Rhinolophus ferrumequinum: one gene and its partners. The protein of the gene in region 2 binds, or shares a complex with, the protein of the main gene of each other region. Links are inferred from orthologs where the notes say so. Each region holds a gene or a part of one and is shown on either strand. Other genes may lie near its edges. The genes, in order: PA2G4, ARVCF and SRSF1.

Region 1 (7,715 bases), on a different chromosome or scaffold from region 2:
CCAGGTTGGATGATTGATGAGAACATTCGCCCAACCTTTAAAGAACTAGCCAATGAGTTCACGAGGATGGCCCGAGACCCACCACGGTATCTGGTCATAAAGGTGAGTAGGGACTAGGAGGTGTCAAGGGTATTTAGAGCAAAGGGGACTTGGCGGGAACCAGAATCTATCTTAACAATCACCTGTCTCTACAGAGAGAGAGTGGACCTGGAATTCCTCTTGGGGCAGAGCCACCTGCTCTGACAAACAAGGAACTGGAAGAAGTAGAACTGGAGCCAGAACTAGACCTTGACCTGGACTTGGAGGCAGAGGAGGACAACCTGGTGACAACACTAGGCTCCGTCCTCAGCCTGCCAGTTGGAACACTTAATCGGCCACGTGGGGTAAGATACTTTCAAGTTACCCAAGACTTTGTGCACCCTGAGCGTCTGCACACCTGCACTCTCGTGAACCCCACAGATGCCCACATTAACTACTCAAAGGCCCCATGATAAGATTTTTGCCTTTGTCTAAACCTCTTTCTTACGTTTTTTTCATCCTAGAGCCAGAACCTTTTAAGTCCATCATCTGGATATATGCCTATGAACCAGAGTAATCTTGGGGAGGCTTGTCAGGTAAGGCCTGCCTTTTTAAGGAGCTGCTGAGAGGCTGGGTGACAGAATGTTTTAGGATCGACGGGTAGTGTAGGAGATTTTAGAAACCTTTGAGGTTTAATCAGTGTCCTACAAAAAAGGAGGCATTGAGGGCGGTAGGATGGTTCGGTAGGTTAGAGCGCGAGCTCTGAACAACAAGGTTGCCGGTTCAATTCCCGCATGGGATGGTGGGCTGCGCCCCCTGCAACTAAGATAGAAAACGATGACTGGACTTAGAGCTGAGCTGCTAGATTGAAGGACAACGACTTGGAGCTTGATGGATGGGCCCTAGAGAAACAAACTGTTCCCCAGTATTCCCTCCCCCCAAAAAAAGGCTTTAAAAAAAAATGCATTGAATTACCTAATCTCTTTTCTTTGTCTCTGTGTAAATCTCCGTTTATTATTTTCCTTCTTAGGAGTCTACAGTTTGTGCGGGTAGTGAACGGTGCTCCCGTCCAGCCTCTCTGCACCCGATGCCACGGGGGCGCCTGGTATCAGAGTCATCAGAGGGCCATGTGACAGGCTCTGAGACTGAGCTCCAGGAGAAGGTGTCCATGTGTAGAAGCCGGAGCCGCAGCCCACGGCCACGCGGAGACAGTGCCTACCATTCCCAGCGCCACAGCTTGCTTCCTCCTGTCACCTCACTCTCCCCACCAGGGTTAGAGGAAGAGGATGTCAATGGTTACGTCATGCCAGATGCACACCTCAAAGGTGCCTGCCTCCCCTTTCTCCCCACTGCTTATTATGGTGAAGTTTTCCGCATAGCTAGCCTCTCTTCTCAACCCCTAGGTACTCCTTCTTCCCGGGAAGGCACCCTTTCTTCTGTGGGTCTCAATTCTGTCCTGGGTACTGAAGAAGAAGATGAAGATGAGGAGTATGAATACATGAACCGGAGGAGAAGGCACAGTCCACCTCGTCCCCCCAGGCCAAGTTCCCTCGAAGAGCTTGGTTATGAGTACATGGATGTGGGGTCCGATCTCAGTGCTTCCCTGGGCAGCACACAGAGTTGCCCGCTCCACCCTGTGCCCATCATGCCCACTGCTGGCACAACTCCAGACGAGGACTATGAATATATGAATAGGCGACGTGGTGGTGGAGGTCCTGGGGGAGACTATGCAGCCATGGGCGCTTGCCCAGCAGCTGAGCAAGGTTATGAAGAGATGAGAGCTTTCCAGGGGTCTGGACACCATGCCCCCCATGTCCATTATGCCCGCCTCAAAACTCTACGTAGTTTAGAAGCCACAGACTCTGCCTTTGACAACCCTGATTACTGGCATAGCAGGCTTTTCCCCAAGGCTAATGCCCAGAGAACATAACCCTTGCTCCCCGAGGTACTCAGGGAGCATTTGATGGCAGCTCACGCCTCTAGAGGGTACCCCTCTTCTCCGTAGTCCCTGTCCCTCACAGGTCTCAGTCCCATTTCCTCCCTAGTCCTAGACAATTCCATTCAATTTCTGGAGGCTTTTAAATACTGACACAAAATTCTTGTGGTATGTAGCCAACTGTGCACTTTCTTCTCTTTGCCATTCCCTGGAAAGGAGAAGGTTTTCCCTATTTTGTTTTCTTTCCCAATCCCTTTCCTCTGCTTTCTCAGGGGAACTCCCTGGAGATATGAAGGATTATTCCCTTATCATATCCCATATCCATACAATTACTCCCATATCATGTTCCGTTCTCTCAGACTCTTAACTTGTGGAGACTGGGCTTCACAGTGTGCCTTTGTTTCTCATCAGACTCCTAAGGAAGAGAAAAGGGGCAAAACCTGGCAGGGGGAAAGTAAAATTTTGGTATAAGACTCTTAACCCCCTAGAAAGAATGGGAAGGTTAAAATCTTGTGAAGAAAAAGCAGATATTAATGATTACTATTAATTAAGCCTTTACTTTGTGCCAGGCATCTTGCTAAACTTTACCTACATTATCTCACTTAATCCTTACACCAATTCTGTGAGCTAGATATTATCCCATTTTACAAATAAGGAAACTGAGCCTTAAAGAGATAAAGTAAACTAAGTGGCAGGTCCAGGATTCAAATTCTTGCAATCCATGTGCTCTTACTGTAAGGTATCAAGGAAAAGTGATACAAGTCAGAGTCCTTGTAGGGGGCATTGTCTTATTTTTGCACTGAATCAAGTCTAACTCCAACAACCACAGCCTCCTAAACCCAGACTTCTCATCTCAGGAAATGGGGGTGGGGTAGTCAGAAGGAAAAATAAGCAGACATCTTTGTAAACCATAACCTATGTGTGCTGTTAATGATCTCTTACCCAAGAGACAGATCCATAAGGGTCGCCCAGGAGCCACTTTTAGGAGCTATTCTCACCCAGTAATGGGAAGCTTCCAGTTGGAATAGAAAGAGGACCTCTCTTCAGACCTCTGTCCCATTGGATGGGAAACTGGGGGTATCTGTTATATCACTGAAGTTTTTTGTTTTGTTTTTATACGTATCTAAATAAAAATGCCAACGTTTTTCAGCTTTCTGTCTGTTAAATGAAGAAAACCTTTAGTGTTAGACCACCCTTTTTCTCTACTCCTCAGCAAACAATAGCTACTTCCCCCCTCTGCTTTGTCTGTTTTCCCATGCAGCTTTCTCCAGCCCTCCACTGTCCTTGTATTCCCTTAAGAGAAGCATAGCGCACAGTTCTTTTCATTTAAAGGTTTTACTAGGAATCTACAAGGCGACCAACTGGGAATAACAAAAAAAGTTTGGGAAAGTTTGAAAAAGCCCTATAGATGTGCTCCCTCAAGAGGTGGAATATTGAAACTCCCAGGTTTCAGAACTCTTATTCTCTTAAAAAAGTCGCCGTGAACACTTCGCTTAGGTGCCATCAAAGCTTATTTGTTGGAACAATAGTGCCATCTTCTGTGGGAGTCCGGTCTGTAGATTGGGAGGCTGTAAATGGATAATCCCTTCGGAGTCCGCGGGCCCAGTTAAGTCCCTGCTCCTTGGTCTCCTTCCAAACCCGTTCGGCCCCTCCCGGTTCTCCTAGTATCGGAGGACGACTGGACCCGCAGAGCCGGTCCTGCCAGCCGCTCCAGGGATCCCCGCCCTGAGCCTAGTCACCCCCAATCGCCTGGGCTCCACCCTGCCCCACCGCCTCCAAACCCAATTCCCCGCGGGTAGCTCCGCCTTTTCTCCCTCAGCCCGCCCCCCGCCCCCCTCCATTAAAGGTTCCAGTTCAAGGCTCCTGGTGGACACGGTTTTTCCCGCAGAGACCACGCTTCTTAAACTCCCAACGGCTCCGCCTTCCCACTGGAGCCTGACCCTTCCCAGCGTGCCCGGCGATTCCAGCGTGCGAGGCCCTCGGAGGGCAAGGCCCCAGGGCCTGGTTTAGGGGCGCGAAAGGCAGGCTGGGAGTTGTAGTTCACGAGTCCAAGAGGGCGGCTAGAGGCTGGCTGTGGAAAGGACTCGTTGTCCCAGCGTGCCCTGCGCCTCAGCCCGCGCGCTCGCACCTTCTCGCTTTCGCCCTCCCGCCCGCTCCCTTGCTTGCTCGCGCTTTTGCTCGCGCTCTCCTCCTCGCGAATCGAAGGGGCTCAGACCACAGCCTGTGGCTAGCGAGGGAGACAGAGGCGGCAGCTCGGGGGGACGAGGCTGCAGTGGTGGTGGCGGCGGGAAGATGTCGGGCGAGGACGAGCAGCAGGAGCAAACTATCGCCGAGGACCTGGTCGTGACCAAGTATAAGATGGGGGGCGACATCGCCAACCGTGAGTGCGGCCTCAGGGGTCCGGGGATCTAGTCTGAGAGGAAGAGGCAAGGAGGATGGTACTGGGCGGGCTCTGGAGGGGCTGGAGCGGTGGGGTCAAGCAGAGTGAGCTACTGAGGGCCCCGCGCCGGTCCGCTGAGGGTGGCGTGGTGGGAAGACTCCTGTGTCGCGCCTGGGACCTGAGCGTCCAGGCCTGGGCTGGAGTCTGGAGGTGCGGGGCGGCGACGGGGAAGAGCTCAGAGCAGGGTCCCTGGCCGTCGCGAACCCTAGGACGTTAGTAAGGAGGCAAGGTTCGTCTCCTGCCCCTCACCATTTGGTCCGGATCCCTGCCGCCTCTAATTCGGGCAGCGACGAGGCCACCTCGAAAAGGAAGCACCCAGATGTTGGCGACGGGAGCGCCCCTCTATTTTGTCGCGGCTCTCGGGGCGTGAGGAGTCGAGCCGGCACGTGTTGCCGGGTTCCTGTGCTGATCGCTGGCTGCCTTCTTCCTCCGCTTACCGTCCCTGACACCAGCTTCTCTACCACGTGCTTTACTGAAGTCTTTGGTTCTTAACTTCAACTCTTTCCCTGGTGGGCGCCCCATTCTACTCTTGGGCCAGCTTTGGGACCGTTGGAAGGCACCCGTGGAGCTCCTCACACCCTCTTTGAGATGTATCTGGCTTTTCTTGAAGATACTCATTACTACCGTCAATCTGTGCAGATAGCCTTTCTTAGCCTTTGTATTTGATCTCGAGCTTGACAACTCCAGAAATGTTTTTGAGGCCCTCACCCCAACTAGACAAACTTGTGAATAGTACTGGAAAGGGGAGGGGGGACCGATTTTAGGATCTCAGAAGTCATCCTTATTAGGACTGCTCTGACTTTCTCAGCAGCTGCCTGCCACTCTAGGCAGATGTCTCACTTTCTATTTTCTCTATTTCCAATTCACCTTTCCAATTTAAAACCCAGTTGAGAGGACAGAAACTGCTTGTCTTTGGGCTTTTAAATGCTTTTGATAGTAAAGCTAGGTATTTAGAGTGCCTCTGGTCCAATGGCTGGAAACATGAGTTTCAGCCTTCCAAAGATTCACCAAAACTTAGATCACAAAAATCAAACCTAGAATTCAGGATGGGCCATGGAGATGCTTTATAACATAATGGACATTTAGTATGGTATCCCCATTTTTGGTACGTTTTTGTATTTGATATTAGTGGTTTGAATCAGAAGAAAACTTTTTTGCAATTTAGAACTTCTGAGGTACTTGCGATTGCAGATAACAGTTTAGAACTTTTGGGTCACATACCTTTTTATGATCTGCTAAAAGTTGTAAGCCATGAGCCTGCTGAAGCCCAGGGACCTTAGATTAAGTCCCCTTGGCTTATACACTTGTTTGTGAGGAAATAAGTCTACATAAATTAAATTACTAACACCTAATTGAGGTGTCTGAGAAGGGAGAAGGTAGCATTTCACAATGCATCAGCTTGGAGTCAGCAGTTGTGTGCCTACCTTCCTGTTGTCCCTGACGCCTATAAATTTCTTTTGGTCTGTTTTGCATGTATGTGGGATACCTTCATGAGGACCCCCTTGAAGTTCATAATTCTGTCCTACCACACCGTAGGTATGTGTGGAAGGTCTCCCTTGCCTAGGGAGACAGATTGTATACACCCAGTTATCACATATAAGGAAGGGAAGGGAGTGTTGACTTCTTTATTTTAGGAAAGGAAGGTAGAAATTTAGAGATTAAAGGTAGGTACATTCCAAGAGGCAAAACTTGTTTCCTCTTTCAGCCTTAGGGCAGTGGCACTAGAGAATATTAGACATTCTGGGTCCAACTCTTAGGTATTGCTTGGATTGTAACTTTAGACAGCACATGCAGGACTGACATGGTGGGGTTCTGTCCTTAGGGGTACTTCGGTCTCTGGTGGAAGCATCCTGCTCAGGTGTGTCGGTACTGAGCTTGTGTGAGAAAGGTGATGCCATGATTATGGAAGAGACGGGGAAAATTTTCAAGAAAGAAAAAGAAATGAAGAAAGGTAAAAAATCAGTCCCCCACTAATTTCCCAAGTTTGACCCTTATTTGTTCCTGTTTGTCATAATGATGCAACTCTCACCCCAGCTCTAGTTGAGATATTTGGAAGTTGGAAATGGCAAGTGGGTTACAAGCAGTTTGCTACGCAATCCAAACTTATTAAACTTAGGCAAGACCCTGAAGAAAATCCTTCCATTCTTCTGAGGGGCAACAGGGCTCCAAGAGAGAGCAAGGCAGTAAGGCTGATGATTCTGTCTCTACAGGTATTGCCTTTCCCACCAGCATTTCAGTAAATAACTGTGTATGTCACTTCTCCCCTTTGAAGAGCGACCAGGACTATATTCTCAAGGAAGGTGACTTGGTAAAAATGTAAGCTTAAACTGTTTTAGAGCACTTGTCTTTTTCCTAAGCATTTATATAGTCCCAGTTGCTAATGCTGTACTCTGGTCTTGCTTCTCAGTGACCTTGGGGTCCATGTGGATGGCTTCATCGCTAATGTGGCTCACACTTTTGTGGTTGATGTAGCTCAGGTAGGTGGCCTGCTTTGAACTTTGTTCAACCTGTGAGCGTGCACTGCTGCTTGCTTCTTATTCCCACGCCCTACCACCAAGTGAGTTTTGAGAGAGTCTCTGGAGAAATAAAAGGAAAAAGGGTGATTTCTCTTGTTCATTGGCTGACCTTACATAGTGGGCACAGGGATATTAACTGAATAACCAGCTGAGTTAAAGAACTTTCCAGGAAGACACTGATTGCATTTCCTTATCTACAGGGGACCCAAGTAACAGGGAGGAAAGCAGATGTCATTAAGGCAGCTCACCTTTGTGCGGAAGCTGCCCTACGCCTGGTCAAACCTGGAAACCAGGTAAGCTGTTTAGTCTAGCTCCAAAGTTTGATAGAGCCAAAGCTACACTAGGCATCTACAGCGATTCTATATTGCACTGCCAACTTTGCCCACAGCCCTCTCGTAAAACAGTTTTTTTAAATCAGCTACCACTTCCGATGGGATTTCTGTAAGAGAAGAGGCAGGAACTAAAGAGCTTAAGACTAAACAGCAGTTAACCGTGATGCCTACCATAGACGGTTCCATGCTAGGTGTATGAGGGTATGTGGAGCCTACAGAGATCCTTCCTTTTTCATGTTTTGGTTGCGCGTTTTCCCCCAAAATTTGAGGTAGATAGCTTAAAATAAAGCACAGATATATTTTAAAACTCAACTTTAAAAGGTTATAAAACAAAAATAATAGTAAACTGGTGGCAAAGAGGCTCAAAGTTAGTTCTGTACCTTGCAAGACAATATTAGGAAGCCCAGGGATCATAAACTTTTCATGATTTAATACAATTTAGTGTATTAGACTATCAGTGGAGACATTTCTCT
Region 2 (8,029 bases):
CTCCACAAATGCAAAGGAGAGCCAGCAGTATACACTAGTGTGGGGGTCGGGGTGTCTGTGGGGGTGGGGGTGTCTGCAGGGCTCGGGGTGTGGTCCCAGGGAGAGCTTCCCATAGGAGGAGGGTAGGAGCAGAGGGAGTGGGAGGGTCTGGGGGAGGCATAGGTCTCCATCCCCAAGGTCCCCTTGCTACAACAGCCCTGTACAGGTAGGGGAGGGGAAGAGCCTAACAGGAGCCCTGAGGCAGTAGACAAACAAACGGACTTGAAATATGAAAGTAGAACCAGAGATGGGATTTATGACAAAGAGGGCAAGGGTAGGGGGGCACTGTCTGTCTTGGGGACCCCTTCTCACCACCCCCTCAGGGCTGGTCTGCAGTCTCTGGCGTCACCCACCATGCCAAGGACTTTACACTAAGAGCATTGGGTTCAAGGGAGCCACCACACCCCTTATCAGACCCACCCCCAGCCTTGGAAAGGCCTGCTGCATCTCTGACTAGGGAAACCCAGCCCAGGCTGCAAGAGCCAGCAATCAGGCCAGCACAGCAAGCTGTGGACCTGCACAAACCGAACAGCAAGAGGCAGCTTCCATGGGCACAAACCGAGTCTAGAGAAGGGATGGGGCCAGGGCAGGGCAGACGGGGCAGGTGTCTTGGGGCCACCGCAGGCATTGAAAAGCCCGGGTTCAGGTCCAGCAGGCCGCCTGAGCGCTAGCTCTGCACTGGAGCCTCGAGTCCTGCTGCACCATGGCAAATCCTATGTGCTCTTCCAGGCCACTGGTCACTCAGTGCGTCGTGGAAAGGCACCCACTTTGGCTGTACCCTCACATTTCACAGATGAGAACACCGAGGCAGAGAGACGCACAGCCCTGCCCTGAGTGGTGGGCTCATAGTCCTTGCCTCGACCCTGGTAACGGCATGGCCAGCCTACGGAAGCCAGGGAGACACGTGGGGCTCGCACCTGAAGGAGGCCTCACTCTCAGGGCTGTTCAGGTGCAGGGCCCGTCCTTCACTGTCCTTGCAGGAGCCCGTACTCAACCACCCCGCCATCCAGACCTCAAGTTTCCCTGGCCTGCACCAAAGGTAGTGAGGGGCTGTGGGGGTACCGAAGGGCCTTGTCCCAGGGATCCTTCAGCCTCCCACTCTGGACGGGCAGCCTGGAGAAAGCAGAGTTCTGGCCTCCCACTGGGTGCCCTAGGAAGGGTCCTGACCTCAGGGGCAGGCTGGGTAGAACAGGTCTTGCCTGCCATGGTGGTCCTGGATGCCCTCTGGTGGCTGCACTGGGCTAGCGGGTGCTTAACTAGAGGCTGCTGACCCCCGGGGGTCCACTGAGGCAGTAAGAAGTACTGTGCCTGACCCAAGATGAGGGGAGGCGAAAGCGGAGGAGCTGTGTAGGTGATGTGGGTATCCACCAGCTCTGGGTTCACCTTCCCGACCTGTGAAATAAGCCAAGATGTGCAGCCCTCCCAGGATTCCTGCTCCTGTGTCTCCCCTCTGGTCACTCCCTATTTCTGGAGCTCCTGCGGAGTGGCCCAAGACTCATCCTAACCTTGATAGAAGCTGGAGGCGAAAGAACAAATACCTTCTCCACACTTCAGCCACTATCAGGGAAGTTCCCTTGTGGCCCCCCAGAACTTGCCCCCAGAGCACCTGTCCTTCCCTGGTCCCCCACCCCAGTCCTGCCCCTCCCTCCCTCTGCTGAGCCCAGACCAGATACTAGGGGCTGACTGAGGCTCTGGCATGCCTGGGGTCCTTGCCCCTCCCATGGTGCTACAGTTCCTGGCTCCCCTTGGAGGCAAAGGATCCTACTGCTTGTGTCTCCCCCAAGCCTGTCTCTTGGGGTGAAGGGGGTACAGTGAACCCATCCTGAATCCTTGTGCAATACAAACAGGGATGGAGACGCAGAGGGGAACCCTGGAACTGGGAAGAGACTTGAGGAGCTACCTCTGGAGGCACCACGAAGTCCAGGTATGGCAGGGGCAGCTCTAACTTAATAGGGCTGGGGGCTGGGGGCTGGACCCAGTTCATCTAGGAGGTACTTGGTCATCAGGTACTAGTGTCCTATAGAAAATCAAGTGAGGAAGAACAGGGTGGGACTGGCTTGGCTGAACTTCTGTGACCCTCTCCAGGCCAGGACCAGAGTCCTGACCACAGCCAGTGCTCTGTGCCCAGCCCTGTGCTGGGTGCTGGCAGACCACAGGCTTGCGGGGGTGGTAAGGGCAGACATGGTGCAGCGGATGGGATGAGGCAAAGCTGGGAGAAAGCATGCCTTCCAGATTTATGGCCCCACATGCTGTGGCCGAGCTCAAGGCCTGGACCATCTGCTCAGAGATTGACTGGCCATGGGCTCAGCAGGCTGGGCAGAGGGCTCTGACTGGCTCCTGTGTCCAGCACTGTCCCAGGTTCAGAGATGCACTGAGCACAGGACAGGCAAGACCTGCTCTGGACAGACAGACCTCTGGCTGCATCCTGGATCTGAGAGTGGAGGCAGGGACGGTAGAGGGGATCCCTGTGCCCCTGGTGCTGTCCTTATGAAGGAGATTGACCCCAGAGGCACCAAGTTTATAAGCCTCTGGGTTTATTAAGTACCGACCTGGTGTGTACCCTGCACAGTTACATGGGTGACACGGGGAAGGGATGTAAACAAGGGGTAATTGAGGTTACATTAAGAACCTACCCTAAAGGATCAAACCCCTTTGGGCGGGTTCTTCTCTTTCCCTTGTTTCTAAACGTGGCTGGGTCTAAAGAGAATGGGAACCTGAGTGATACACTCTGCATAGGTTAGAAACGGTGACTTGTTTTAAGTACCCAATATTTAATTAAAAGTTAAAATAGAAGGCTAGGGATCCCAGGCTGCCCGCCCAAGGCGACATCTCAGCGAAGCCGGGCTGAGTACCACTCCGAGTGGGAGGACGCGCCTCCCTCGGCCTGGGGCCAGGTGTCCCACCGAGGCGGCGCTGGGCCCGGGTCAGGGCACCGGGCAGGGTCTCCGGGCAGCGTCCCCTTTCGTGTCCTCTAGGCGGCAGGAGATGCGCAGCGTGGGGACGTTCCTTTGGCCCCGTCGTGCCCCCGCGCTTCCCAGCGGCGCACCGCTCCGGGAAAGTTCCCGGGCCCCGCCGCCCCTCCGGCCGTCGGAAAGTTTCTGTAGCTGCCCAGCCCTGGCTGCGAGGCGCCCGGCGTCGCACAAGCGGACGCTGGATGCGCGCGGTGCGGGGCGCGCCGGCCGCTCGGGCAGGGCCCGAGGCCGTGCACAAAGGGACCCACCCCGCCAGACGAGGGTCTCGCGCACCGCAGCGCGGGCGACGTACGGGTGGGGCGGAGCCGGGCTCGGATCCCCAACCACGACCCCCGCCCGGATAATAGACTCCCGGCCCAAGACCCCGCCCCGACGGGGCTCCAGCCCATCCCGCAGCCGGGAGCCCGCTCGCACCTAGCTCTCCAACCCCCGTCCCCATGCGGACCTCGTCCCTGTCACCCCAGCATACCTGGAGCGCGACGTGGGCGGCTCCGCAGCTCGGCCCCCACCCCCAGGCGGGCGTCCCGGGTCCCAGAGCGCGCGGGGCGCGGCGTCCGCAAGGCGCGGTGTGGGTGGCCGTCTGCGGGGCCTCAGCTTGGGCCGGTGCAGAGGCTGACCATCCCAGGACCAGCGCGTATCCCCCGGGCTAGCCCTCCCGCCCTTCGCGCGGTCCGTGCGCAAAGCGGGCCTAGCCAGCGACGCGGTTTTCCGCTCCGCCCCATCCGACCGCGAATTTTCCCATTGGTTGGAAGACCAGGTGCGGCCCGGCAACCGGCGCCGATTGGACGGGCGCAGGGAGACGCGGGATTGCCATTGGGCCACCGAGATGTCCGTCCTGGCCGACGACCGACCCCCTCGTAGAGTGGTGGAGGCCGGGCACCTGCCTGGACCGCTGCGGCCCGGCACCTGCCTAGATCTCTGCGGCGGCGGCGGCGGAGGCCGCAGGGTATCCCTCTTTGGGCCGCCTTCCAGGACTTCCCCAGACCGTCCGGCCCCGAGTAGGGGCCGACAGGCCCAGCGCCCCCTCCCCGGACTCGGGCCGCGTTGGTCTCATCACCACCCCTAGTTCGCAGGTATCCTTCACCAGCACCTGCGGTAGGCCAGGCGCTGCGCGCAGCGTTCTCCTGTCCACGTCAAATTGTACTCCTCACACAACCCTGGAGGAAGAGTTCTGCTGCCATTCCATTTTACAGATGGGAAACTTAGGCTCAGAGAAGTTCTCAGTTGCTTTAGTCACCAGGGCTGGAATCCAGTCCATCTGATAACTGGGCCTGGAAGCTCTCCCACCCTCATCGCCCCAGGATTCCCACAGCAAAGGCGGGTGGGTGAGGGCCTATAGTGTTTCTAAGGGCAAGAAGGGACCCCTCAGAAAACCAGGGGTTTTCCGTCCCCATCAGGCCTGAATCTACAGACACACTGGGCTCAGTCCACTTTACAGGGCCCCACAGGACCGCCCTCCCTCATCTCCCTCATGCCATCCCGACAGATCTGGGCCTGGGGAGGAGGAATTTGTGCCTTTAACCCTCCTCCTCCCCTTCGTGGTGTCTCATTTCCTCCATCCTACCAGGGGTCGCAGAAGAACACTGGGTTTTAGCCACCTGGATTGTGTTTAGGGAAGGCTGCATTTCCTTGCCAGGTGAGAGCATCCACCTGGCCCTGCAATGACATAGGGCACATATGTGACCACAAATGGGACCATAACTTTAGGCCAGCTCCACTTCATGGTGTGGGGGGCACCAGTGGGGATGCTGCCCATTGGGGTTTGTTTCAGGGGGATCCTGAAATGGCCCTTTGACCAGTGACCCTGGCTCATTCTTGGTTCTAAGACTTTCCTGCCATGGTTGGACCAGATCTTCAGCTCACCATATTCCCCAAGGCTGCCCAGGGAGTCACACTGCCCATGACAGTGCTAATGGGGGGACCAGATATTCATGTCTTATCCACCCACAACATGAGGTCAGAATGTTCACCCAATAATTTCTTGGTCAGAACAAAGAAAGTAAATGACTTGAGGCTAGAACTCACCACTGGTCTCACCATTAGGTCCCCATGTGCCCTGTCACACATGGCAAATTGATCCCATCAGACTTTCAGAGCTAGGCAGCTGCCACCAATTGACTGGAGTTGGCACTTGAGGTGACAGCCATTTGGCCCCCTGACACAGGGATGTTGCTCAAAGCTCTGGGCGGGCAGAATGAAGTGTCCCTCTCTGGAACACAAAGGTTTCCTTGCACAAGATAACTCATCCCATGGAGCCACACCATCAATGACATTCTGGCCCAGCTGCCCCTGGGCTGGGAATTCTCTTTCTACATTTAGGAGTAGATTTAATTAGCCCAATGTTCAGTGGATCTCTCTGAGGGCATTGATTGTGCCCTGGTCCTTTGGGAGCCCCTCCTCTTACAGTGACCTTGTGGGCCAGCACCACCCCTCCCCCACAGACTTACTGATCATAGCAAGAGAGGCTGGGCAGACCTGCTGAAATTGTGCACCTAAATCATCCCAAGTGAGGACTGCCTCCCTTCCCCCTCATTCCTGGCAGGGTTCCAGAGACCCGTCCGCCCCTGAACTGGATCACCAGCCACATACAGAGGATCAGCGTGTGCAGCGACAGTTCGAAGAGGACTCAGGACCACTGTCTGGCAGTGGGCACACCATGACCCAAGTGGGGGTCAGAAAGTCAGAGGGCAGGAGAGGTGGCCTCGACCACTCCCCACTGCCACAGGGACCGGTAGCCCAGTCTCCTCCCTCTCCATGGCCACTGGCCAGCTCTGTAGGGATATCCCTGGGGCATGCAGGGAGAAAAAGATTTCAGCTGGATGTCAGGAAGAACTTTCCAACAGTTGCAGATGTTCAGACACCAAAAGGGTGGCCACATAATAAGGATGTCTAGGGATGTGTGTAATCAGAGGTGGGTGGCAGTGAGTCCCTTGTAGCCCTGAGACCCCAGGGCTCAGGTGCCCACCTCGACCCATCTAAATGGTCTTGTCTGCTTCCTAGCACCAAATGTCATCCAGATGGGAGTCAGCGGTGACAGTGAACATCAGAGTGCCTGCTCTGGCTCCATCTAGATGGAGGAAGAGTGTGGCTGGGGACTGGACTGGCCCAGGGCCATATGCTGCTCTCTGTGGCAGACTGGGATTTGAACTTCTGTCCAACCCACGCATGACTGCATCCCACTTTGCAGGCAATGGGAAAGCATTGCTAATGAGGGCCAATCTGTGTTCTACTCCTCTGCCCCAGTGGTCTGGGGCAGACCGCACTGCAGCTTCTGCTCCATACCCCAGGGCATTGTCACTCACCTCCAAGCCCATCCTGCTTATCCAACACTACCACCTCTTGGCTGGACTAAATGGTCCAGTGACCAGCCCAGCACAATACTGTTGCCGGATGGTGGAAGGGAAGACTGTGTGTCTTGCTGGATCTGCTGCCTGCTGGCCTTGAGTCCCCAGGTATCTGGAGTGCTCGCTTTCCATCCCTACAAAGGGCTTCTGTTGGGTTCCAGGAGGAACACAGATGAGACGGCGAAAGAGTGGGGTGAAATAGTGAGCTTTCAGGGGCATCATGCAGGTTTCGGTTTGACTCTAGCCTTTGCTGATTAACAGCCAGGCCCTTCTCTTTGTTTTCCACAGGGCATCAGCGCTCTGAGTCAGGATCAGGGAGCCTAGATCTTCAATGCAGGACTGTGGAGCTAATCCAGCCACTGTCATTTGCCACCTTGTCTTTTTTTTTACTTCAAACAAGCGACGTAACTGCTCTGAGTCCTCGTGTCTCCATCTGTAAAGTGGGATCAATGAGAGCTGTGTACTGGAACACTGGGCTTAGAGTGCTTAGCACATTGTTATTTTCCTTAATATAACTCTCATTCTTGTCATAGTTTGCTGAGCGCCCACTTTGTAGCAAGCCCCGGGCCTCTGACTCTACACTTTCCCTGCATTCAGGCCCCAGACAGATGGGGCAGGGAGCCCAGTGCATGCCTTTGTCCTGTTGGGAGGATTCCAGTCAGTGTCCTTTCCAGGCCTCTTGCTCACCTAGTCCGGATCAGTTTGGGCCAGCCTTTCATCCCTGGGGCCTGCACCTGTAGAAGAACAGCTTGGAGGTGGACTCAAAGGCTACGGTGGCTGGATGGGGCTGGAGTGCCTGGTCCAGGGCCTGTCCTGAGCATGGCAGGGATGTCAGGGGGTCAGAGTTGCAGTGGAGAGGATGGCCAGGTCCCAAGGCCCGGATTGGATGGACCAGAGAGGGGCTGGAGGCCGGCGGGGGTTGGGGGGGGGCACCAGGACCCAGCCTGAGGGGCGGGTCCGGAAATGAGCATCCCTGTAGTGCACAAGCCGGGGCCACCAGGTGGGCCGGTGACCGAGTTCAGACAGCGGCCCTGACGGGTCAAGCGGCTGCGACCTCCTGCGGGAGTCCCCGGGTCTGGAAGCCAGGAGGCTGGGAAGGCCGCGGGGGTCACGCGGTGTCCAGACACCAGCGCAGCCAAGAGGTTTGGCGCAGCCTCAGGGGCGGGGCTCTGGGAGGGCGTAGCCCCTGGAGCGACAGCGCACGTAGCCAACTGTGCCTCGGGTTGCAGCGCGCCGCTCTGTCCCTAGCCACGCAGCCGAATGGCTGCGCACAGACTGCGGCAGGGGCGGGGCCTGGGCGGTGGCGGCAGCGCGCGGGCGCGGCACCCGGAAGTCGGCGGCGGCGGAGGCGGTGAGTGCGCGGCTGGCTGCCCGGGCCTGCGGACTCCACTCCCCGCGGAGTCGGCTGGCCCGGGCTCGGGGGCGCGGGGCTCCGTAGGAGCGGGCGGGGAGGGGCGGGGCCGTACCCCCCTCCTGCCTCAGTTTCCCCTTCCCGAGGCGTGAAATGGAAATCAAGCTGCAGGGTCCGGGGAGACCAAACCGCCCAAGGCCAACGAAGGGCTCCACTGGGAGGCGTTTCCAGTGATCCCCGCCGGGTTGGGGTGGGGGGGCCACTGGCAGACCGGGCTGGTCTTGCTGCAGGGAAGCAGAGACTGGCGGGGCTGGGGGAGTTGC
Region 3 (8,256 bases), on a different chromosome or scaffold from region 2:
TCAAAAATAGAAAAAAAAAAATCTTTGGAATAGCCAATTAAGTTGAATAAAAAAAAAAAAATCCACACGAATGCGGTTTGGTTGGGGCAGGAATCCACTCCTATGTTCCTGGTAATCTGATCCCGCTCCATGAATCCTTGTAATTCATCCTCCCTATCCTATCCACATTATGATTTGAATCCAATGATCCAGCTCCAAGGATTGGGATCCAGTGAGCCCTCTCCAATCCAAACCTTTATAACCAGCAAAACCAAAAAAGAGGAGGCAAAATGTTAGATACTGTAATCAAAAAAGGTTTCTGGGGAATGATGAGTTATGTCTGTCATCAGTTTAATAGATGTACATCAATAACTATCAAATTCCCCAAAACAAGTTTCTGAATGGTGTTCAGATAAATTTTAGAAACTTAATCATCATAGAGACTAATTGGAAGAAGCATTTCATTATTTACAGTTCAACTGATAATGCCAACACTTGTTACTGTACAGCGTATTACAGGTTTTGTGGTTGCAAAAAGTTATGTAGTTGAAAAGTTTACTGATATTGCTACCCACCTAAGCCTAAACTAAATCTAATGTTCCCACCTGCAGTTTAATTTGTAAATTAAAGTGTTTTAAACATGAGTCAATTATGAGTATTAGTTTAAAGGGGAAGGTGAGACTTAAAAAGTATTCCCAACTAGATTATCTACATCAATATGTTGGAATTCTGTAATTTGCTTTCATTTTGTCTTAAAAAAATGAAATAGCAACGCTATATCAGTCACACAGAGGACATGCAGATTTAGCAGTATTGATATTATACTCTATCTGGTTGGGATTAAAGACACCCTGTACCCACATGTACACCAACAGCAGGTCACACATTAACAGTTGTAACTAAGCACTGTGACAAATTAGCCAGTTCTTCCCACATTAGTCCCTATTAAAACAAAAAAAAGGGGGGGAAGGGAGCAAAATAGTTACAAAATGGGCAATGTAATTTTGCCACAATTGCCAAGGTTTAATAGGCAAAGCAATTGTAGTTAAATATAACTGCATAAGACGTTTGCAAGTGTTTTAAGGTAAATGCATATAATCATTTTTAACCCTTGCCTTTTAGTATAAGGTCAATACTGCCAATTTCATCTGTGACAATAGCACTTGGAGTCATACCATTGCCTCCATTATTGATCTGATCCTCCTCAATCCTCCTTTTGACAATCCTAAAATGATTGAAATGTGCTCCACAATCCTTAATCCAAAGCATTCTTAATCCATCTCTTCAGATATGTCTACAGAAAGACACATGAAAAGCAAGATAAACATAAGAACTTCCCCAGGTAAGAACCACAAACACCCCCAATATCCCAGTTCACACAAACCAGAGCAGAATAGACATTTACACAATATCACAGTCTGAAGAGCATGGAGAGTTAACTAAATTTAAACAATCCTGTCTATGACATCACTTAAAATACAATTTATCAGACATGTGGGGAATGTAAATGTTAGGAGCAAGGGGATATTACACAAGAATGCAATTCAACACTTTAACCCATTCTGAACAAAACAGTTTGAATTAAAAAATGAAAAGATTGTACTGAGTAAAGGAAAACTGTATACAACATGGGTTCTACAAAAAGTGTCACCAATCATCTTATGTGCGAGAGCGAGATCTGCTATGACGGGGAGAATAGCGTGGTGATCCTCTGCTTCTCCTTGGGGAGTAACTGCGACTCCTGCTGTTGCTTCTGCTACGGCTTCTGCTACGACTACGGCTTCGAGATCGAGATCTTCCATAACTTGGACTTCTGGGCCCATCAACTTTAACCCGGATGTAGGCAGTTTCTCCCTATTGAATAGACAGAACTTTCGATTGAAAGATCTAAGCTTTTATCTGTCTTCAGGCATGCTGAATGAATACAATGTAGCTAAAACCAGAAATCTGGCACTTTACTTGGGCACCCTTGCCTGAAATCTTACCTTTAAATTCCACTGTTAAGACCACTGTATCCAATTCTGGCCAAAGAAAAGAATAAGTGTATAACCTACCTCATGAGATCTAAACTTAGTGTTATCCAGTTTTCGAACTGCATAGGTCATATCTTCTTTCCGTACAAACTCCACGACACCAGTGCCATCTCGGTAAACATCAGCATAACATACATCACCTGCTTCACGCATGTGATCCTTCAAATCCTGCCAGCTTCCACTTGGAGGCAGTCCTGAAAAAGTGTTTTTTTTCCAATACCAATTATCCTAAATTTCTCATTAAACTTAATTTACATTAGAACAAAGATTACTTTAACAATGATTATATTTAAGATCCTAGGTAAATAGCTAAGATTCTGGAATCCGGACTCCAAAATTATCTGTAAGGTAAGGATCTTCATATTCTAGGTACTGCAACCTAATTTGATAAATCTCCATCGCAGTAACCCTTGTTTCCTCAATTCACACAGAAAGCTAAATTTAAAACTTCCATTTGTCAAATTGGTCACGCAAGGAAAACGTTAAGTGGTTTCTGTCCCTTCTCATCAATCCACATTAACAGTAAACTCACCAGAGACAACCACTCTGTTTTCAGATCGCCTTGATGGGGGGCCGTAGCGGCCTCGGGGAGCCCCGCCACCTCCACCCCCGCCGCCGCCTCGGCCTGTACCACGGCCGCTTCGAGGAAACTCCACCCGCAGACGGTATCCATCGTAATCATAGCCGTCGCGACCATACACCGCGTCTTCCGCGTCCCTGCGTGATCACAGAAAGCAAAAAGAAGTAAGAAAAAGGACCCGGAGAGGCGGCTAACTCAGCCGGGAACTAGCGACCCCCCGCACATGCGCACCCAGCGTGGAAGAGCCCACATGCGCCGCATAATAGGAAAAGCCCCTCCCCCACCCAGAAGCACGCCAGGCTCCAGACTACACCAGCCCTCAACGCCTCAGTTTCCCGCTACGAGACTAAGTCGGTCTGAGAAAGTCCATGGGGCCCAGCCATCCGAAAAGCCACACGAACTCAGCTACTTATTCAACTCCTGCCTGGGCGATACCGTCTTGCCCCCAACCTAAAAGCCACCTTCCCATGCTCTATGTTAAGGCCGTGGAGCTTTCCCCAACTACTCCAACCTAATTCCACAAGGCCGCAAGGCCCAGGCCGCCTCACCGCGGGTCCTCGAACTCAACGAAAGCGAAGGGCGGCCCTCCGCGGCGATTCTTGAGATCGATGTCGCGGATAGCACCGTACTTGTAGAACACGTCCTCAATGTCCTTGGTTCGGATATCTGGAGGTAAGTTACCCACGTAGATGCGGCAGTCGTTGTTCCCTGCTGGGCCACGAATCACACCACCTCCCGACATGGCGGCGACGAAAAGCGCGGACTCGAGAACAGGCCTTCCCACCAAGCCTAGCGCACGGCAGAGCGAGCCCGCAGCGACACCACGTCTCCCGCGGCCCCTCCAAAATGGCGCCTTTATCAGCTCGGCGCACGGATATGGGGGGAGGGAGGAAGAGAAGCGGGAGGAAGCAGCTATTTGATCTCAGTACGCACGCGCACGAGCGTAACGGGTGCTGCGAAAGTACGTTTACGCACGCGCGACGTTACCCTCCGCGCAAAGGGAAAAAAAAGTTCCCCGCGTTGCGGATTTGCGGAGTCGTTTGCTAATGGAGTGACCAGCCGTTTGGTAAAAAGATACAGAGCCCTCGTTAAAGGGGTTATTGATCCCTTTTGACTCTTAAGAGAAAGTCAGTTTCCTCAGGAATGAACCTCTTTAAAGCAACTCGATCCCTTGAAAGGATTTGGTGAAACCTAGCCTAGAGCCTGTCCCACCATGCTCTGCGGCGTCAACGGCCTTTGGCGGGAAAAGACTCCCGGGGGCGGAGTCAAAGGGGGAGGGACCAGGCAGTTGCTCTGGAAACGGGGAACTCGGAGAGTGCGCCTAGTCCGGGAGCCAAGGCGTGACTTTGTCTTCCTGCCCCTTCTGCGAACAAGCCTTGGCCGGCTTAGACAAGTGTCTGATTTAGGGAACCAGCTTAGATTTCTTAGTAAATATTGTACAGTCAGTACGGGTCCACCTTTGGTTTAAAACTTAGTATAGCTCAATTCAACACTCCTTGTGCTAGTGGCGGTGATTCGTTCGTTCCTTTTTTTGAACTCATTACCGGTCCTTTCAGGTAATATAAATGGGCAAAATGGATATGTGAGAATTGTGATCACTGGAGACCATAGTTGCTGCTCAGGATTGATCCTACTTCCATGCTATCCCAGGGAGATAAGAACTTTTTACATTTTTTTCCCCCAGAGATATTTAAAATCTGAATTTTTATGTGAAATGTTGGGATTTTAAAATATTAGTAAATGAATTCAAATTTTTTAAACACCCCTACAGTCGTACATATGTTAAAATACATTATACATTTATTTGCAACAATCCCTCTCCCCAGGAATGTGAGGCAATTTGCAGAGATAACCATAAAAAATTATTAAAACTGGATGAAATCAGGGAGAATGGGAAAATGAGGGAGGGTTAAGATGAAGTCATGGATAAGGTTACTACACAAAATGCCTGCAGTAATAGTCTGGTGAGTTCCTAGAGAAGGACTGCAAATTTGACTGGTCATCCCAGAAGTCACAGTAAAGTCAGGAGCACAAGTGCGGATATTCTAAATCCAAAGTGTCTTTGAGATTAAAAAAATAGATCGTTTAGGAGATAGTCATTATTTCTTAGTTCTAAAAGTTGATTGAATGTATTTTACAAATGTTTGGTAGTCCTTGAACTGTCTGTGATGGTTTCTAAAATTATGTGTATATGTATGTGCATGGAAATTTTAATCTGATTCTTAAAGGGGGCTGTAGGTCCCAAAAGGAAAAGGAACCTCCTAAAATTTTAGAGGGAAGGACATCGCTTGACCATCCTTCAATGATATTTTTGAAACCAAGACTTTAATTAAAAAGAGAACAACTTGATAATTTTTTTTTTAAAAGCAGGCGCAGCTCACAGTGGCTCATGCGTGGATCAAACCCGGAACCTTGGTGTTATCAGCTCCACGATCTAACCAGCTAAGCTAATGGGCCACCCCTGATAATTTTTAAAATGAGAAGCTGACCAAATGGACACTATTTTTTAACAAATTTACTCAGTTTCTAGCACTGTCCTAGTTGGTTTGTAGCAGAGAGATGAGAAATTTTTTTAAAATTGCAGTCATCTCATGTATTCGTTATTTTCATTCAAGTTATTTACTGAGCACATTTTCTTTCTGTTCTAACTTTTATCCATCAATTTGGAATTATTCGTGTTCATCTTCTGTTGATAAATGTTAAGTAAGTGATAACTGAAGTGATTTAAACATAGGTGCGTTTAATTTCAAGACATTTTCATTCCAGAAAAATAAGAAAACTGTGAATTTGCTTTGATTTATTCTTGAGTGTTTGACTTAATGAAATCATTTATGATTTTGTTTAATTAAGAAGAACACAAGGTAGACTTTAACATGAGTGAATGGGACATTCTTGTTTCTCTATTGGCATCTTTTATTGTATTTGAATAGAACCAAATTATAGGTTCTGGGGTCCATGATGAGGTCAGGATGTGGCACGAAAGGTCTGGACGGCTGTTTATCAAGGTCTCCCAGGATGACATTGGCTTGGTGATTATTACAGTTACGGGGTGTGATATTATTAGTGTACCAGAGTTGATGAACATATTTTAGTCCACAAGAAAGCAAATAAATAAAATGATTTGTTCATTTGTTGGGTGGTGGGGCAGATTCATTTTTGATAACTAGTATGCTCAAATTGTACATACCAAGATAACTGTTTTGGCAGGTCTGGAAAGCAAATCAGGAAGTTGCTTAGTAAATGAGAACTCAAAATGAGGTGAGTCATTTTGAGAGATATTTTATTCAGATCATGGTGAGACCTGCTAAATGATCCCTGCTCCACACAGAGTATACCTCTTCAATGACAGGAAAATTCATACCCCTTGGATTTTGTGTCTCTGGACAGAGCTGGGTAAGACTGGCAATTCTCTTTCTGTAGGCTAATCTTCACTCAACTTTCTCTAAACAGTGTGCTAGGCAATTGATTAGATTTCTGCTGACTGAATTACAACCACTTGCAGTTTTGCCTTCTGAGATTACATCCTACTCTTAATTAGAGGTTTAGAGTGTTTCTAAACTCCTCAGTTATACATTCACAGGCAGTTATATGGATTGCTCCCACAATTAGCTAATTTATTAAGTATGGATTTTACCAGCTTAATTCTCAGAAGCTGCTTTATTTTTAACACTGTTGGTGTTTGAGGAAAAGTGACTTCCTCAAAAAGAAACTCTTTAAATGCTTTCAGTCCAATTTAGTAAGCATATGCTAGTGTTAGCACTATACTTTACCCTGGAAATAATTACTTGGGGGGGGGGAAATAGAAAAGAAAGAAATTCAAAAAGTTAATTACTGTTAATGTTGAAATCAGAAGACCCAATTTTTCAGTGATTTGCTGAACACTCAAAACTCTATACCTGTGATGATAGTTACACAACTCTGTAAATATATTAAAAATCATTGAATTGTGTGCACTTACAGTGAGTGAGTTGTACAGTATGTAAAGTATAACTCAAAACTTGTTAAAAATGACTGGGGGGAAAATAACTCCACAAGTAGCAAAATCACTCTGTAGTACCATTCCTCTAAAGGCATTACTGGGGTGGGAGTGTTCCAGAGTAATTTGCACCGAAATATGGCTACCCTAATCTGGAAATTCTGTTTTTAATATTCATGTGTCAATGCCAATGCTTGTCTTCCTTGGGGATAACTTACTTTTACTAGGTAAAGAAAGAGACACAAAGATTCGGAATATTGTGTACGGGAGTTATCTCCAGGAACAGTTCACTTGCATAATTCTGTATTCATTGTTCCACTTGTTTTAGTTGTAAATATTCTTGAAAAAGGAAGAAGTAGTATATGTCTTTTTATTTAATTTATGTTTGTCTCATTTTCACTAGTAAACTATGCTGAGGACAGATTTCTGCTGTAACTTCCTTTATTACCAGTAAATTCTCTGTTAAAACCAATATTGACGATTTACTGACTGCTCTTTGAAAAAGGTGGGATGTTAGATGAGCAGAATGTTGTTTCTATGGAAACATCATCATGTTGCTGTCAGTGGATAGACACAATGGGTATAAGGATGGTTTTTCATTTCACTATCGTAAGGATGGCCAGTTTTCAAGCTCAAATAAGTCAACAAATAATATTTTCTTGGTAATCATATTTTAGGACTGGCCTCCCTCATTCTTTGGTTCTAGTTTTATTTTTGGCTAATTCTTTCCACCTTTATTGTTCCATCATTGATGCCAGTAGGATATGATTTTGCCAGAAAATAGCTCTCAAAGTGATCTATTACAAAGAGGTATATTGTCATCATGTCTTCCTCTTCCTAATTATTACTCTCTCTCTCCCTCTTCCTACTTAGCTCTTTCTCTTAAAAATTGAAACTCCACTTCATATTGCACATTTCTTAACTGGAGTGAGTAAATGGGTCTTTAAGGAATTATATTAAAAATATGGCAGGTATGCTTTATTTGCTAAAAATATTGCCCTTTTTTTTGGCAATTAAATCTTATAGTGTGAGTCCTATATAAATGTTAGCTATTAGTAGTAATAGTGGTATTACATGTTAATACTGATGCCAAGTATGTTAGAAGTAATTTCAATAAACTTTTATTTGAAATTTTGAGAGAGTGATTATTTTTTTCCTCTTTATTGTTTTAGAAAGTACCCCAGATTAGCTGAAAACTCTCAGAATTACTTTTCTAAATTTGTTTGCAGAGTTGAGTAGTTGCAACATAGACTACATGGTCCACAAGTTTACTTGGCCCTTTACAGAAAATGTTTGCCAGGAAATAGTCTGCTTTTGTAATTTTTGCTTGAACCTGATTCAAATATTCAGTGTTGTCATGTTCTCTGTCTCATAGGTGTTTTTGTCATGGGTAAGATCTTACATTGTTAATAGTTGTAAACATAAGTAATACACTTTTTCAAGTGAAATGTTGCTTCCACATGCTTCATCAGTCATTACTACAGTTTAGTGATAAGGTACCAAGACCTGGTGAAAGCAAACTCCCCTGCTGGTCTGCCAGCCTAGAACGGGAGCTGTTGCTCTGTTCCAGTTGGTTGCATTTTTTTTGTGGGGGGGGTACTCTAATTGGCTCAAAATGCTCACTGCCAGAGTGTGGGTTTCTGGAACCATTTTTGCATAGAAGTGATGTTGCATGCAAAGAGTCCATA

Evidence for each region.
Region 1: ARVCF (region 2) and PA2G4 share a complex: the UniProt entries of both Homo sapiens proteins name them as parts of the ribonucleoprotein complex. The link is inferred for Rhinolophus ferrumequinum from reciprocal best matches to the Homo sapiens genes ARVCF and PA2G4.
Region 3: ARVCF (region 2) and SRSF1 share a complex: the UniProt entries of both Homo sapiens proteins name them as parts of the ribonucleoprotein complex. The link is inferred for Rhinolophus ferrumequinum from reciprocal best matches to the Homo sapiens genes ARVCF and SRSF1.

What each region holds. Positions count from the first base shown.
Region 1 is NC_046293.1:55,468,156-55,475,870, forward strand, and holds the start of PA2G4 (proliferation-associated protein 2G4), read left to right. Parts: upstream 1-4,037; 5' UTR 4,038-4,246; coding exon 4,247-4,334; intron 4,335-6,216; coding exon 6,217-6,345; intron 6,346-6,604; coding exon 6,605-6,710; intron 6,711-6,801; coding exon 6,802-6,871; intron 6,872-7,110; coding exon 7,111-7,203; intron 7,204-7,715. Other genes in the region: ERBB3 (receptor tyrosine-protein kinase erbB-3), read left to right, coding at 5-102, 195-383, 543-614, 1,049-1,343, 1,422-1,948. UniProt on the Homo sapiens protein: May play a role in a ERBB3-regulated signal transduction pathway. Seems be involved in growth regulation. Acts a corepressor of the androgen receptor (AR) and is regulated by the ERBB3 ligand neuregulin-1/heregulin (HRG).
Region 2 is NC_046308.1:24,484,832-24,492,860, forward strand, and holds the start of ARVCF (splicing regulator ARVCF), read right to left. Parts: upstream 3,715-8,029; 5' UTR 3,481-3,714; intron 1-3,480. UniProt on the Homo sapiens protein: Contributes to the regulation of alternative splicing of pre-mRNAs.
Region 3 is NC_046304.1:27,597,776-27,606,031, reverse strand, and holds the start of SRSF1 (serine/arginine-rich splicing factor 1), read right to left. Parts: upstream 3,494-8,256; 5' UTR 3,335-3,493; coding exon 3,141-3,334; intron 2,730-3,140; coding exon 2,545-2,729; intron 2,207-2,544; coding exon 2,034-2,206; intron 1,834-2,033; coding exon 1,639-1,833; 3' UTR 1-1,638. UniProt on the Homo sapiens protein: Plays a role in preventing exon skipping, ensuring the accuracy of splicing and regulating alternative splicing.